2 linked regions of the Sus scrofa genome follow. The protein of the gene in region 2 interacts with the protein of the main gene of each other region in a pairwise test. Links are inferred from orthologs where the notes say so. Each region holds a gene or a part of one and is shown on either strand. Other genes may lie near its edges.

Region 1 (8,074 bases), on a different chromosome or scaffold from region 2:
CCGCTCCTGCGCGCCCGGGCAGGTGGGGGCGGTCAGGCCGGGAACTGAGCCCCGCAAAACCTGAACACGCCCGCTCGCAGCCGCGTCAGGCAGACGTCGCCGACGGAGGGACAAACACCCGCGTCTATCCACACGAGGGCCTCCTGCTCGGCCAGAAACAGGTCGGCGGGCAGACACCTGCTCCAGCACCAGGAAACTCATGAACACGGCGAGAGAGAAGCTGGTCACGGGGGATTAACCCGGGTCATCCCACTTAGGCCAAGTGTTCAGAACAAGCAGATGTCAGAGACAGAAGCAGGCTCGTGGAAGCTTAGGCCTGGAGCCAGGGAAGGAAGGAGGGAAAGTGCTTTTGCCGAACTCGTGGCTGCTGGAAGCCATCAACGGTGTCCGGCGCGCCCACCAGCCAGGCTGGACTTCACCACCAGCCTCTGGTGGTCGCAGCTGGCCTGGGGTCAGCACGAAGACCCTTCCCTGGGCTCTCTTTTCTCACGGGCCTTTCTGCAAAAACCCCAGTGATTTTGGTTCATTTCTATAAGCAGCACCAACTTAAGATTTCCCTGTTCCAGAGTTCCTGCTGAGGCTCAGTGGTAATAAGTCCAACCAGTATCCATGAGGACACGAGTTCGATCCCTGGCCTCGCTCCGTGGGTTAAGGATCCGGCGTTGCCAGGAGCTGTGGTGTGGGGCGAGACACAGCTTGGATCCAGCGTGGCTGTGGCTGAGGTGCAGGCTGGCAGCTGCAGCTCCAATTCGACCCCTAGCCTGGAAACTTCCACAGGCCGAGGGTGCGGCCCTAAAAAGACAAAAAAGAGAGAGAGAGAGAAAACGAGTCAGCGTTCCACCTGTCACTAGGCTGTTTACTGAGCGCCCCCAGCGCCAGGCCCCGGTTCAGGTGCCCGACGTCCCTTCTGCTGACCGGCGAGGCAGGCAGGTAGGCGGGCAGATGAAGAAGCTAAGGGGCATCGATCGGGAAAGTTACGGGCCTAAAATCGGTACGTCAAAAAAGAGTCACAATTTGCACGTTATTCGGGAAAGTGGGAGGCCTTCCAGGAGGAGGAGTGAGAAGACTGAGCTGTGCCTGCCTCGGACGAGCAGGGCGGGGAGTGGCCACCCGCCGCCTCCTTCCCGCACCTGGGGGGCAGCCACACGGCCCGGCGCATCTGATCGCCCAGCCCGTCTGATGGCATGAAGCGTGAAGCTTGTGTGATGCGGCGTGAGCCAGAGTGAAGGGAAGCCCGTTAGCACGAACCGCTGACTGCAGGGCGCAGGGCACAGGGCACAGCGGTCTACAGGGGGTTTCATGACGCAGATCAAGAGCTCTGGCCCAGGGACTCGACGGCGAGGCATTTGCCTAACGAGGTGATGGCGGCAGAGATTTCTGTGCGGACGACGACGACACGACAGAGGCTGATGGTGCCTCTAACGCCGCAAAGCCGCCGCCGCCGCCACCGTAACTGCGCCCAGCAGGCCCGGAAGGGGAGGCCTCTGCGCCAGGCAACCCAAGAGACGCCAGGACAGCGGTGACCAGGGCCTCCGTGGGGTGCGGCCGGGAGACCACATGAAGAGAAAAGACGGGCTGGGGACCCACGTATGTGCAACACACACAAGCCCCGTTCCTCAGTCACACGCAGGCGCGTGCGGAGAAAGAAACGAGAAGGTCATACGTCAGAACACGAGCCGCTCAGGGAGGAGAATGACAAGCATGTTTTCGTCTTTTATACTTTCCAGCAATTTCTCCAACAAGAGAAAGAAACCTAACATATGCACTCAAAAGTGTTCAGCGCGAGTTCCCACTGTGGCTCAGTGGGTTAAGAGCCCAACTAGTATCAATGAGGATGCGGGTCTGATGCCGGGCCTCGCTCAGTGGGTTACGGATCTGGCGTGGCCGTGGCTGTGCTGCAGGCTGGCAGTCGGGACTCCGCTGCCACCCCAGCCCGGGAACTTCCACATGCCGCAGGCGTGGCCTTAAAAAAAGTTAAAAGTGTCCTGTGTATCAAACAACCTCACCAGAAGGAGAGCGATAACCCAGGTCAGACCAACAGCAGGAGGGCAGGGCAGCACCACCAGGCTGAGGCCGCCGGGGCGCCAGGTTGGAAAACTCCACCACGGGGCCTTTGAACAGCCCGCAGGTGAACAGTTTTTCCAATCGGAAGCTATCACTGGGGGCCCCGAGGTCCCCTCACACCCGGGCCACCTGTGTGGGGTGCTGGCAGATGCCGGGACATGATCCAGGGGTTGCCCAGCACGGCAGCTGTGCCCTGGCCACCCTGACCCAGGACGAGTCCAGGTTCCCACTCAGAGGAGCGGCCTCCTGCTTCTGCTCCTCTACGCAGCCCCACGCCCTCACTCCACTGGTCAGGCTGGAAACCCTGCAACCCCAACCCCTCCCATGGGGCCCCCCTCCCATCTCCCCAGCTCACACCCTCCAGCGCCCTTGAGCTCCGGGAGCCGTGGGCCTCGCCGGACCCTGCAACGCAGTGACCCTACGTGTTTCAACAGCCCTCACCCCTCAGTCCCACGCCCACAACCTCACCGGCACGGTCTGCCTCTGTAATCCCGCCCGTACACTCCCAGCTCCCTGCCTGGCCAAACCCCAAGTCTAGAACCTGGTCCAAATTCAGGACCCCAGGCTTGAGGGACCTTCGGGGCTGCCCAGCACTTCCACAGCCCCGCTCAGCGGCTTCTCCCCACCTCTCAGCCTCTCGACCGTCAACTCCTCCTCCCCGCTGCCCTCCCCTGTTCCTGGCAGGGGACCTTCACTCCAGAGCCCTGAGCTGCTCCCGGGAGCCTCCCACTACCTCGCCTCGCTGTGGCGCCAATGCCAAGGCCATCACCCCCGGGATCCACTGCCCCTCCTTCTACAAGACCCACTGCAAGTTCCCACATCCAAAACCCTTTCCACAGGCTCTCCGCCCTCTTCCTTTTATTTATTTTCTTCTCTGCTGGCTGCCCTGAGGCACATGGAGCTGCCGGGCCAAGGATCAGACCTGAGTCACAGCTGCGACCTACGCTGCAGCTGCGGGAATGCCGGATCCTTTAACCCCCTGTGCCAGGCTGGGGGTTGAACCTGCAACCTGGTGCTGCAGATGCTGCAGATCCGTTGTGTCAGAGTAGGAAATCCTCCACCCTCAAGCACAGTCCGCTGGTGCCTTCTCGAACTCCGTTCCAGCCACCCTCCCACCCAATGTGACCAGAACCACCAATGACAGCCAGGCGCTAACACGCTCCTGACCAGAGCCCAGCCAGGCTCCCTGAGCCCTTCTCTAGGCCTCCACCTGGGCCTGAAAAGACTTGAACAAAAAAGCAGTTTCCAGCAGCTCGAGGCCACATCTTAACAGCGACTCTAGGTCCCCTGAAAAGCACCTGAGAAAAATCCAGGCTGCCAAAGGATCCGGCCAACACCTGCAGACGGGCCTGCTCCCTCAGCCTCTGGGGTCAAGGAGGAGCCCCATTTTCCTGAACACCAGCCAGCAAGCCCAGGGGGGTTTCCCACAGACCAGCCCCGGTCATGCTTCTGGTCATTTTCCACCCCGACTCCCTGAGCACAGCCGCCACCTCCCTATGGCCTCAGGTCAGCCTTGCCCTGTTTGTGGTCACTGACAAAAATCCCACCTCACCGCCTGAAACCAAGTACAGCAAAACCAAGTACAGCCGGTCCTGTTTATCTCTGAGTCACCGAGTGGATCTAACGGACACGACTGGTCCCTCCCATCTCCCCTGCTCTTTCCTCTCAGCTTCCCAGGCACCCTCCACTCTCCGACCCCTTTGCACCCTGCGCCCCGACTCCGAAGGGGCGGAGGCTCAGCCCCTCCCTCTCTTCAGGCCCTGTGGCTGGAAACACCACCCTTGGGCTAAAGGTTTCTCTGCTCAGGTGTGTATCACCCACACACACCCTCTCAACGGAGGGGTCCAATCCACACCCCACCGTCCTCTGCACACCTGACCTTCCTGCACGGTCTGTTCCCCCCCAAGAATGGTCACGTGGTGGAATCCCGCTTTCAGCTCCAGCTAACACCCTGGTGTCACCCACAACTCCCGTCTTGCACAGCCTTCCACGCCACGGTAAACCCCGTTGGCGCATCCAGAGCACCTCCAGAAGTGGCCCCTCACGGCCTCTACCCTGAGGATCCTGGTCCAGCCGCCCCGCTCCCCTGGATTATTCAAAAGCCTCCAACTCGTCTGCGGCCTCCGCCCCGGCCCCTCCATCCCACGTGCGACTCGGCGTCCGGAAGGACTAGTGAAATACCTAAATCGGGTTAGGCCCCCCCCTCTGCTGGGACCCTCCTCCAGAGCTTCCCTCCCTTCCCCTCCTCGGCCCGGCGCCGCCTGCGGGGCTAAGCAAAATCAACCGCACCCCAACCACCCCCAAGCCTGGCTCGCTGGGCCGGGGCTGCTTCAGCTCCAACACTGCGGACAACCGGGAGGCACCCCCGAGCAGTGGGGAAGGCCCGGAGCGGCCGGCGCTCGGGATCCCGCGCTCCCCCCAGGTTGCCGACCGGGGAAGCGCCCAGCCCTCCTTGCGCACCCGCCAGCCCCGGAGACCTCGCACCCACGTGGGGCGGGCCCCAGACCGCCCCCCTCGCCTACCTGCGCGTGGCCTCCAGCGCCGGCTTCCGGCAGACGCGGCGCCCAGGTAACGGGGACCCGCCCTCCGGAGCTGCACCCCCCCCCCATTGGCTGAGGCCCGCCTCCGTCTCCCCGCTGGCCAATGGCGAGCGGTAGCCGCCAGGGCCGGGACGCGACCAGACGCGCCGGTGGCGTCATTGCTGGGCGCCGCTGGTGCCCGGAGCCTGCGGTTGCCAGGCAACCCTCCACGTGCGGGACCTCCCAGTTCGAAGCTGCGCAGGCCCGTTGCTCCACCGGGGTTCATGTTGAACAAGATAAAAATGTACATAGATTTCCCCCCCCCCGTCTTTTTAGGGCCGCTAGCCATGGATATTTGAAGTTCCTGGTCTAGGGGTCGAATCCGAGCTGTAGCTGCCGGCCTACACCACAGCCATGCCATAGCTCAGGGCAACGCAGGATCCTTAAACCCACAGAGTGAGGCCTAAACCTGCGTTCCCCATGGATACTAGTGGGGACTGTCACCGCTGAGCCAGGAGGGAAACTCCAGAGGTAGATTTTTAACTGCTTTCACTTAAAAGTGGGAGCAAGATTGTGCAATCTCCGCATTACACCTGTGCGCCAGGGTTCCCAATGCATCGGAGGTGCATGCAGACACCTGTTAAGTCCAGGTGAGGTCACCTGGGGTGAGGGTTGAAGGCGGAGGTGGGCCTGACCTCGCGGGGTATCTGAGGTCTGAGGCAACCCACTGCCAGTGAAACTGAGGGGTTACACCGTTGTTGATTTCTTCATAGTCCCAACACTGAGAAAGGGAAGAAAGAGACTTGGCCTGTGGGGACATTTAAGCTGCAGACCACGTGGAGGAGACAGGTGGACGGGGTTATGCTATCAAGGGAAGGTTCTCGATATGGGAGATAGGAAAGCCAGGCAGGGTTCTTTAGTTCCACTCTCTAAGGCCAGCCAGTTTCTAATCTGGCCGCATTATACCAGAGCCCCTGCTGGTCCTGTGTTCACACACGTGAGAGTCTATAAGGCACACACTTGGGGGTAGAGTTTCTGAACCATGTGTGCAAGCACGTCCAACGCTACGGACTCCAGGAAAAGCCATTCCGTTTTCCAGCTGCTCTGGAGGACTTCACGACCATCTAGGGAAAAAAAGTTCATCCAGAAGCTTAAATATACAGAAGCGTTGATGTAGTTTTTTTAATTTTTGCTTTTATTTTTAGCTCTGGTAATTTGCCATGCAACTGAGCAGGACTCTATGGCAGCTTCCTGGAATGCAACAGACTCCCACCCCACAACGCCCCTACCCAATGGCCTCCACCTGCCTCTTGTCCATATAGAAAACTTGAGCCTCCTTGGCCTTCTAGGTCCAAAAAGGTTTGTTTTTGTTTGTTTTAGGGCCACATCTGAGGCATGTGGAATTCCCGAGCGAAGGGTCGAATCAGAGCTGGCCAGCTACACCACAGCCACAGCAACGCCAGAACTAACCCGCATCTGAGACCTGCACCAAAGCTCACAGCAACGTGGGATCTTTAACCCACTAAATGAGGCCAAGGATCAAAGATGAGTCCTCAGGGATACTAGTCCGGTTTGCTACTGCTGAGCCACAACCGGAACTTCCAGTTCCAAAAAATTTAATCAGTTAAGTGAGAAAAATGCAAAAATAAATGAAGATAGTCAGGCAAGACAAAATAGCTTAGCCCTAAAACAAAAATCAAGGAACTTTAGTTCCTCCTCCAGGGCTGTAGGTAATATTCTGACCCATGTTCTTTGAGCTGTTTTGCAGAGACTGAAACCCACGCCAGGTGGAAGAAATGAATCTCATACTGCCTGCAAGTGTGCAGACCCCAAACCAGGTGGAACCAGAAGGTTGATGATGTTGCATCCCAATGACCTCACACACACCCCAAACCCCCTCACTCACCCGTGTTCTGAAAGACCTTTCCCCTAAAGCCTTCAAGGAGTTTGGGTCTTTTGAACACTAGCTACCTGGACGTCTTGCTTGGTGCCCACAGAAAACACCGCACTTTGGTTTAACCCAATCTGCTTTCAACAGATTGTTTTCACTGCACAAAGCCGTGAACCCAAGTTTGCTCCAGGCGCTTCAGATCAGCCTCTCATAGAGAGCAGCTTTAAACATAGTCAAATATGCATAACAAATACAGAGAACAAAAAAACGAGCTATGTCAAGACATCAGAGGGCTCATTTTACAGTGAAATATTATGGAACCAACAAACAGGAGGAAAAGAAGGAAGCCCAGAGAAGTAAGCCTTACAGTTATAGTCATTTTTCACTCGGGCCAATCAGTTCTGCAAGGAACAGCTGAAAGACTTGAGAACCTGAAAACAGATGTTGACAGGGTTTTTTTGTTTTTGGTCTTTTTGCCTTTTCTAGGGCCCCTCCCGGGGCACACAGAGGTTCCCAGGCTAGGGGTCCCATCAGAGCTGTAGCCACTGGCCTACGCCAGAACCACAGCAACTCGGGATCCCACCCGAGACTGCAACCTGCACACAGCTCACAGTGGATCCTTAAGCCACTGAGCAAGCCCAGGAATCGAACCCACAACCTCATGATTCCTAGTCGGATTCGTTAACCACCGAGCCTCGATGAGAACGCCCAGATTTTGACAGTCTCCTGGGCTTAGGGCTACCAAGTGGTCGCATCTTGCGGTTGAAACCCTGAAAGGTTACACTGGAGGCATGAATACAAACAGCAGTCCTGGAAGGGACTCCATAAAATCCGTCTGCAATTCATCTCCATGTCTGGAACCGCATTTAAGTGACTGAGGATCAAGTGCTGGTGCAGCTAGCCTGCTGAAAGAAGAACACGTCAGGGCTTCCTACAGGACCCTACTATCCTATGCCCCAAATTACAGCCGATCACATATCACGAGTTCTCAACGGAAGACCACTGTGTACACAAAGGGACAACACAATGCGAAGGAAAACCAAGGAAAACCACCACTCTCAGCGTCACACCCTCAACCCAGCAGAGCCTCTTGGATCTGAGAACGAGCCGCTCCCGCTGCTACCAAACCAGGCTCGCTTGGGTGAAGCGGAGACGCAGAGGCCTGCAGCCCGGCAGAGAGGCAGGAGGAGAGGCCCCAGAAGCACCTCCGGGAGAGCAGGGGCTCGGGGGAGCTCCCGGACAAAGACGAAGGCAGCGGCCGCGGGAGGCTCGCGGCGCTCCCGCGACGAGACCCGGGAAAGGCGGGAGCGGCTCTTCCGCGCAGGCGTGACTCAGCCGCCGGCCGGCACGTGGGCGCGAGCGCGGCGTGGGGGCGGGGCCTCCTGCGCTCCGACGTCAGGCTCCGGGAGCGACCCCCGCCCGGCCCGCTGGGGGGGCGCAGGGCCCCGCGCGGCCCCCTCGAGCTCCGCTGGCGTCGCTGGAGAACCTGCGGACATGCGAATCATAGCACGACCCAGATGAGCGGCGCAGGTGACGCGGGTGCGACCCGCAGCCCCGCATCACGTGCGAATGTGGGGTCCGAGGTCAGGGGCTCGGCTCT
Region 2 (8,074 bases):
TCCTTTAACCCACTGCGCCAGGCCAGGCATCAAACCTGAACCTCTGCAGTGATGCAAGTAAGCCACTGCAGTCAAGATTCCCAACCCACTGTGCCACAGCAGGAACTCCCAGGTTTTAATTCATTTTAAAATACAAGATTTTAAAATAACTACTTGGAGTTCTCTGGTAGCCTAGTGGTTAAGGATCTGGCATTGTCACTGCTGTAGATTGGGTTCAATCCCTGGCTCTGGAGCTTCTGCATGCCAAGGGAATGGCCAAACACACACACACATGCAAAACCACTTGGAGTTCCTGCTGTGGTGCTGTGGGTTAAGAAATCCACCTACAGCAGCTTGGCTTGCTGTAGAGGCACAGGTTCAATCCTCAGCCTTGGGCAGTGGGTTTAAGGCAGTAGGTCACAGCTGCAGCTCAGATTCAATCCCTGGCCTGGGAACTTGCATATGCTGCAGATGTGGCCATAAAACAAAAAAAAACACACTCTTTTAATCAATTTTAGAGAAAACCTATAATTTATATCTATGTGAAATTTAATCTGTTTCACTAATCCCAGAATATTAGAGATGTAAGAGACTTTAGGAATGGGCAAGTGTCTGTGTTTTCTCTGTGAAACATCAGATGAAAACTATAGACAACGCCCTAGAAAAATGCCTATATACACATGTGTATAGCTTGGGTTCATTTTCAGGGGATTCAAAGAGCTGAAATTAGGATTTAATGGCTTCCAAATTAAGAATTCCCCAGTTCCTACAGCCGCACGCTCCACACGAAGATAATGGGCCCAGAAAGAATGAATGCTGGGATTTCTTTTTTTCTTTTTCTCTTTTTGCTTTTTAGGGTCACACCTGCAGCATGTGGAAGTTCCAGGCTAGGGGTCCATTCGGAGCTGCAGCTGCCAGCCTATGCCATAGCCACAGCAACTCGGGGATCTGAGCCGTGTCTGTGACCTACACCACAGCTCACGGCAATGCTGGGTCCTTAACCCCCGAGTGAGGCCAGGGATCAAATCAGTGTCCTCATGGATATTAGTTGGATTCTTAACCACAGAGCCACAATGGGAACTCTGAATATCACTTTTCCACTCAGCAAATCAATTTACAGACCATACAGTGAAAATTTAGCTTGGGGGGTTGTTTTTACAAAGAAAAATGTAACATTCATTTCAATTCAGTGATATGTATTTCTTAATTACATGCAATTCACTTTACTAGTAAATTTACCATTTTGAAGGAAACATTAGGATAACAATCAACAAATAATAGAAATTTTTATTTCATTTCCAAGTTATAGATAGCCAGAAGAAGAAAGGGGAGGAGGAGCAGAACTTGGCAGAGGCAAATCCAAGCAAACTGAAATAAACCACAAACTTCAAAAGGGCTCCTGACTCCCCCCGCCCAACTACTGATACTTTCTTTCATGTAGATATTCCTCAGTCCTAGGATCCCACAGCTGATGACCCAGCTTCCAAACTTACCCACCCCTCCAAGGCCACTAGTCTGTCAGGGGACATAGCTCTTTTTTTTTTTTTTTTTTTTTTTTTTTTTTAAGGCCATCAGCATCTCGGTAAAAAGCACCACCATCCATCCATCTAAATGCTCAAGCCAGTGGGAAGTTCTCTGGTGGGTTACTGGTTGGGATTTGGCGCTTTCACCCATATGGCCCCAGTTCTGTTCTGGGAACTGAGATCCCACATTAAGCCGCTGAACGTTGTAAAACAATTTTTAAAAAAATGCTCACACCCAAAACTCAAGCTTAAATTACCCCTGATATCTTTATCTTAATTTTTTTTTTCTCCTTTTAGGGCCTCACCCGCAGCATATGTAGGTTCCCAGGCTAGGGAACTAATCGGAGCTGTAGCTGCTAGCCACGGCCACAGCAATTGGGATCCGAGAAACACGTGAGGTAGACCACAGCAACCGGGTCTCAACCCATTGAAACCCGAGTCCTCACGGATACTAGTCGGGTTTGTTAACCACTGAGCCAGGAGGGAGGGGGAACTCCTTCCTCATTCCTTTTTTTTTCGTCTTTTTAGGGCCACTAATGGCCACACTCGAGGCATGCGGAGGTTCCCGGGCTAGGGGGTCTAATCGGGGCTAGAGCTTGCCCGCCCTGCACCACAGGTACAGCACCGCCATTTCCGAGCCGCGTATGCGAACTACACCACAGGTCACCGCAACTCCGGATCCTTAACCTGCTGAGCAGGACAGGGATCCAACCTGCAACCTCATGGTTCCTAGTCGGATTCGTTTCCACTTGCGCCACAGTGGGAACTCTGTGTCTTCCTCATTCTTGTTTCCACTACCAGCAAGCCCTGGTGTTTCTACCTGTTAGCATAGGCATCTACTCCTTGGTCCAAAGTTGCCAATCTCCTGTCTGCTTGCAACAGCCTCTTAATTGGTCTGCTCTTATTAATTGGTCTGCTCACTCACTGTTGCCCCTCCCTGATAAATTCTTGGCATAATAGCCAGAATGACCTTTTATTTTTTTATTTTTTAGTCTTTTGCTGTTGTTGTTGCTATTTCTTGGGCCGCTCCCGCGCATATGGAGGTTCCCAGGCTAGGGGTCGAATCGGAGCTGTAGCCACCGGCCTACGCCAGAGCCACTGCAACTCGGGATCCGAGCCGCGTCTGCAACCTACACCACAGCTCACGGCAACGCCGGATCGTTAACCCACTGAGTGGGGGCAGGGATCGAACCCGCAACCTCATGGTTCCTAGTCGGATTCGTTAACCACTGCGCCACGACGGGAACTCCCCAGAATGGCCTTTTAAAAACGTTTATTAGATCATGTCTCTCCCCGCCTAAAATGGCTCAGCGGCTTCACGCTGCAGTATGCCCCCACCCACTCACTGGGCTCTGCCATTGCAGGCCCCATTCAGTTCCTAGAAGACAGACCTTTTTACTGCCTCCAGGCCTTAGCACGCACTTCTTGTGGCAGAAACCCTCTCCCCCCGACCCGTTGTTTGGTTCTCAGATTTAACATTCCCTTCTCAGAGAGTAGGCAGTGACCCTCTCCTTACTACCCTCATCTCGGCATTCTAATGTATTCAGGCACCTGAGCACACTGTGATTTTATTTACATTTTTATTGTCTGTTTCCCCTTACTAGGACTTAAGCTACGAAGACTGGGCCTATGCTAGTCTTGCTCACCAATTAAAAAAAAAGAAATTATGAGCCATGAGATTACTCAACAGCCCGTTATCGACACAGACGAAAGGAGCCGGCCAAAAGGGCTGCAGCTGTTGGCGAGTCCCAACACGGCACCTGGAGATCATTAAGATAACTGCAGCATTAGTGAGAGAAGCCCCTAGAGACTGGGCTCGCGGTGTGTGCAGGTGCGGGCTTTCCTGGCTAAACTCTTCACCTGGGCTCCGCAAAGCCTCAGAATACCTGAAGCAGGTAAGAGAGGTTAGCGGGCCGGGAAGGGAGTCCACCAAGTTTTACACATCACGCCATCTGGGACCGCCCTTTTAGAGAAACAAGGCAATTATGCAACGACCTCAGCTTTACACCTGTCCTGCTTCAGGCCAGCAGACCCAATAGACGGTAGAGTGCCGCGAATCTGAACCGCCCAGCATAAGTAACCCCAAGCAGCACCGCCGGGGCGGAATCGGTCCTGCGCTCCCACCCCCCTCTCCCAGGTAATTACTCCTTCCTTCCGGAAGCTCGGAGGCCCCGCCCACTTCCGCAACGCTCAGTCCGCCGCGCGGCGGGACTCAGCCAATGGCCTGCTTCCCAAGAAACGTTACCTCTGACCTCAGGGCTAATCAAGAGACAGTAGGACTAACGCCTCGCGAGAGGTGAGGTTGAAGCTGTCTCCGCCATCTTGGAGACGGGAGACGGGCGATGGCTGTGGTCCTTCTGCTAATGCAAACAACAAAACGGACACATTAGTCGCTCCCGAGTGAGCCTCTCGTCATTGTAACTGTTGACCAAAGCTACGGAAGAAGAGAGGGTGTCAAAGTCGAGCGCGACGACATTGATAGCAGCCTCAACTGCCTGCTGGGGCGGCAGAAGTGAAGTAACCAGGACCGGAAGGATGGTGCAGTCCTGTTCCGCCTACGGCTGCAAGAACCGATATGACAAGGACAAGCCCGTTTCTTTCCACAAGTAAGTATCCTGAGCGCCTCCTGGGCCTCGCAGGGGCTGGGGGCGCGCGGCCCTGCTCGGGGGCGGGGCCAGGCGCGTGTCCGCGCGAGACCTAGTGGGAGGGGCGGGGCGCCGTCTGGCGCTGGGACGGGGAGCGGTGGGCGTGCCCCTGGCGTCACCCGCGGCGCTCCGCCCCGGGATGCGCGTTCTCGGTTGCGTCGCCGCGGAGGCTGTTCCTCGCGCTCCAGTTTCTAGCGGAGCTCAGGGTAGCTAGTTCGCGGCCCACCCACGAAGCCTAGAATTCCCGTGAGTCGTGGGGTGTCCAGACCGAGAGGCAGCTGGGTCTCACCACCAGGGTCGTAGAGAAGCCAGGTAGTAATGCCACTTTAGCCGTAAAGTTGAAGAGGAAACAGCCGGGAAGTCACGAACTTTGATCCCCTGCGGTGGGGGGAGTCCAGCATCACAGCATTTAGGCATTGACGTGGGCGGGATTTCAGGGAGGATGTTTTGGACTCTGCTCCTGAGGACTGCTGAGTTTTAGAGAGAGCTCCAGGCTGAGCACACTATGTTAACGGGCAGTAGTGGTACACTGTGCATGATAAAATCAGCCGGGCTGTCACGGACCTGGAAGAAGCCCTCGGAGGGGGACACGTTCCCAGTTCTAGGGCCGGTTTCACCTTAGAGGTCCTAGGAGGAAACAGGTCTCTCCAAAGAAAGCCGAAAAGTAGAGTGACAATGATAATCCGATGTCTGCACGATGGCATTTTCATTCAGCCAAATTCTATATTTACAGATGTTATCACATAAAAAGTGTTTTGCAATAATCTCAACCGTAAATGGATGATAGCTAAAGAAATAAAAGCCAGTGATAAATTATACGATTTATAGCGAAATAATTTCAAGAGCAAAATCTTAAGTATTCCTTCAGTTTGGAGGGTGGGGCCTTTTATGTTTAACAGGGAATGTGGATACATTTTTGTACATTTGGTGTAACACTAGAGAGCTGAGGGAGCATAGAGAAATCTTGAGAGTGTTGCTGTTTCCCTTCTAAGGGGAGAAACACAACACTTCCAGATTCATTTGAGGGGGTGATATCTTAATATTACTCTTGATTTATTAGAATTTCTGAAAGCTGATGGATTGGCCTCCAGTACTTTCAAAGTCAAGGGAGTAGGTCTGGAGGTGGTGACACCATCGCAGGCTGTTCAGCTACCCACCTTCCAATTTTTTTTTTTTTTCCTTCGTCTTTTTAAGGACTGTTCCAGCTGCACATGGAAGTTCCCAGGCTAGGGGTGGAATTGGAGCTGCAGCTGCTGGCCTACGCCACAGCCACAGCAATGCCAGATTCAAGCCACATCTGTGACCTACACCACAGCTCATGGCAACGCCAGATCCTTAACCCACTGAGCGAGGCCAGGGATCGAACCCGCACTTCATGGTTCCTGGTCAGATTTGTTTCGGCTGCACCACAACGGGAATTCTAGTTATAGGATTTTAAAGCAAGTACATTTTTTAATTTAATCACTGCACCAGTACTGGGAGAATATGGAAGTTTCTGGGCCAGGGATTGAATCCGAGCTGTGGCTGTGATCTACACCGCAGCTGTGCAATGCTGGATCGATAACCCACTGTACCACAGCAGGAACTCCAAAACAAGTCCATTTTTAACAAACTAAGGTAATAAAGGCACAACTAAAAACTGTCCCCCAAAAATGAGCAAAGTTAGCATTTTCATCAAATACTCATTGGTGTGTTAACACCAGTATAAGCTAGTTCCTTCCAAAGCAGGAAAGTCTGGATGTGCCCTTTTTTGGAATAAGGTTAGAAAACTGAACTATGTTGTCTTCTTAGGTTTCCTCTTACTCGACCTAGTCTTTGCAAAAAATGGGAGGCAGCTGTCAGAAGAAAAAACTTTAAGCCCACCAAGTATAGCAGCATTTGTTCAGAACATTTTACTCCAGACTGCTTCAAGAGGGAGTGCAACAACAAGTTACTCAAAGAGGATGCTGTTCCCACGATATTTCTTTGTACTGAACCACATGACAAGGTAAGATGTGTTTTAAAATATTGGGGGAGTTCCCATTGTAGTTCAGTGGTTTAAGAACCCGACTAGTATCCACGAGGATGTGGGTTCAATTCCTGGCCTCACTCAGTGGGTTAACGATCCAGGATTGCCACCAGCTGCAGTGTAGGTGGCAGATGCGGCTCAGATCTGGTGTTGCTGTGGCTGCGGCGTAGGTCTCAGTTGCAGCTCCAATTTCGACCTCTAGCCTGGAAACTTCCATATGCCTCGGGTATGCCCTAAAAAAAAAAAAAAGTAATAAAAATAAAATATCAGGTTGTTTTCTGTTTATAAAAGTAATGTTTATTGTGAAAATTTTGAAAATTCGAGCAGTGTTAAGAAAATAAATGTGGAGTTCCCTGGTGGTGCAGCAGGTTAAAGATCCTGTGTTGTCACTACTGTGGCTCGGGTTCAATCCCTGGTGCAGCCTAAAAAAAAAGAAAGAAAGAAAATAAATGTTAGCTGGGACCTATCCCTTGTAAATAACCACTGTTCACTTTAAAAAGTGAAATACTTTTTAAAAATACACAGTACAGTTTATTCGAGTTAAATATCCTCACACAAAGAAGCTCGGTGTAGCTTCATTAACATAAGCTCATTCTGTATTCCTACTTAAATGTCGATAAATTTTATTTTTCTTTATCAGTGATAGTTCAGTTTCAAAGTATTTTCCCCCTAAGTTTTTTTGTCTTGTTTTTTTCTTTTCTGGATTTGGCTATGGAGTACAGTGGATTGATGTGGGATCTCAGTTCCCAGACCAGGGATTGAACCCAGGCCTCAGCAGTGAAAATGCTGAGTCTAACTACTCGAACACCAAGGAACTCCCTCCTACCTCACTTTTAAGTGCTTAGTATTTAATTAAATGTTATTAATAGTGCTGTCATTCTTGCATCCCATTTCTACTTCAGATAGAAAAGTATAATTAGGACTTAAACTATTTTCTTATTTTAGGATGTTTCTCTACCAAGGAAACAAAAAAGTGTATTTTTAAATTCCACAGGTGAATTGTTTTAAACTGGTTTTTTGTGAGTTTTTTTGTTTTGTTTTGTTTTTTGCTTTTTAGGGCTTTCAAGCTCGTTTAGGAAAGCATATGATCTATCCTGGAAATGTTCTATGTGATTTTAATTGATTTTTTAGGGCCACACCTGTGGCATATGGAGGGTCCCAGGCATGGGTCAAATCGGAGCTACAGCTGCTGACATATGCCACAGCCACAGCAACTCAGGATCTGAGCCACATCTGCGACCTACACCACAGCTCACAGCAATGCCAGATACCCGACCCACTGAGTGAGGGCAGGAATCGAACCCACACCCTAATGGATACTAGAAGGATGCTTTTCCGCTGAGCCACAACAGGAACTCCTAAACTGTTATTTTAGTTATGGAATTCTGACAAGCTCTGCATCTTTGTTTTAGAAGGAAGATCTTCTGGAGCCACAGGAACAGCTCCCCCCACCTCCTCTAACACCCCCCATTTCCCAGGTTGACGCTGCTATCGGATTACTCATGCCTCCTCTGCAGACCCCGGATAATCTCTCTGTGTTCTGTGACCACAACTATACTGTGGAGGACACCATGCACCAGAGGAAAAGGATTCACCAGCTAGAGCAACAAGTTGAAAAACTCCGAAAGAAACTCAAGACTGCGCAGCAGCGATGCAGGAGGCAGGAGCGACAGCTGGAAAAGTTAAAGGAGGTTGTACACTTTCAGAAGGAGAAAGACGACGTCTCAGAGAGGGGTTATGTGATTCTACCAAATGACTATTTCGAAATAGTTGAAGTACCAGCGTGAAAAGTGAAATTTGTTATTGGGTTTTAATGGGGCAATACCACATACCCTCTTCTAGCCTGTAGAGGAGTTTCATTTGAAAGAAATTACACTTGATTACTTGTATAAAAACAATTCAGAATATTTTTTTAAAAG

Evidence for each region. The genes of interacting proteins can lie anywhere in the genome.
Region 1: the proteins of THAP1 (region 2) and C3H7orf50 interact in binary tests that used the Homo sapiens proteins (3 or more experiments, as listed by UniProt). The two-hybrid records come from large-scale screens. The link is inferred for Sus scrofa from reciprocal best matches to the Homo sapiens genes THAP1 and CHLSN.

Annotation. Positions count from the first base shown.
Region 1 is NC_010445.4:740,634-748,707, forward strand, and holds the start of C3H7orf50 (uncharacterized protein C7orf50 homolog), read right to left. Parts: upstream 4,738-8,074; 5' UTR 4,587-4,737; intron 1-4,586. Other genes in the region: uncharacterized protein LOC102163231, read right to left, coding at 7,547-7,960. UniProt on the Homo sapiens protein: Hormone secreted from the intestine in response to cholesterol, where it acts to inhibit cholesterol synthesis in the liver and VLDL secretion,leading to a reduction in circulating cholesterol levels. Acts through binding to its receptor, GPR146.
Region 2 is NC_010459.5:11,768,354-11,776,427, reverse strand, and holds the start of THAP1 (THAP domain-containing protein 1), read left to right. Parts: upstream 1-3,106; 5' UTR 3,107-4,037; coding exon 4,038-4,108; intron 4,109-5,938; coding exon 5,939-6,134; intron 6,135-7,567; coding exon 7,568-7,942; 3' UTR 7,943-8,074. UniProt on the Homo sapiens protein: DNA-binding transcription regulator that regulates endothelial cell proliferation and G1/S cell-cycle progression.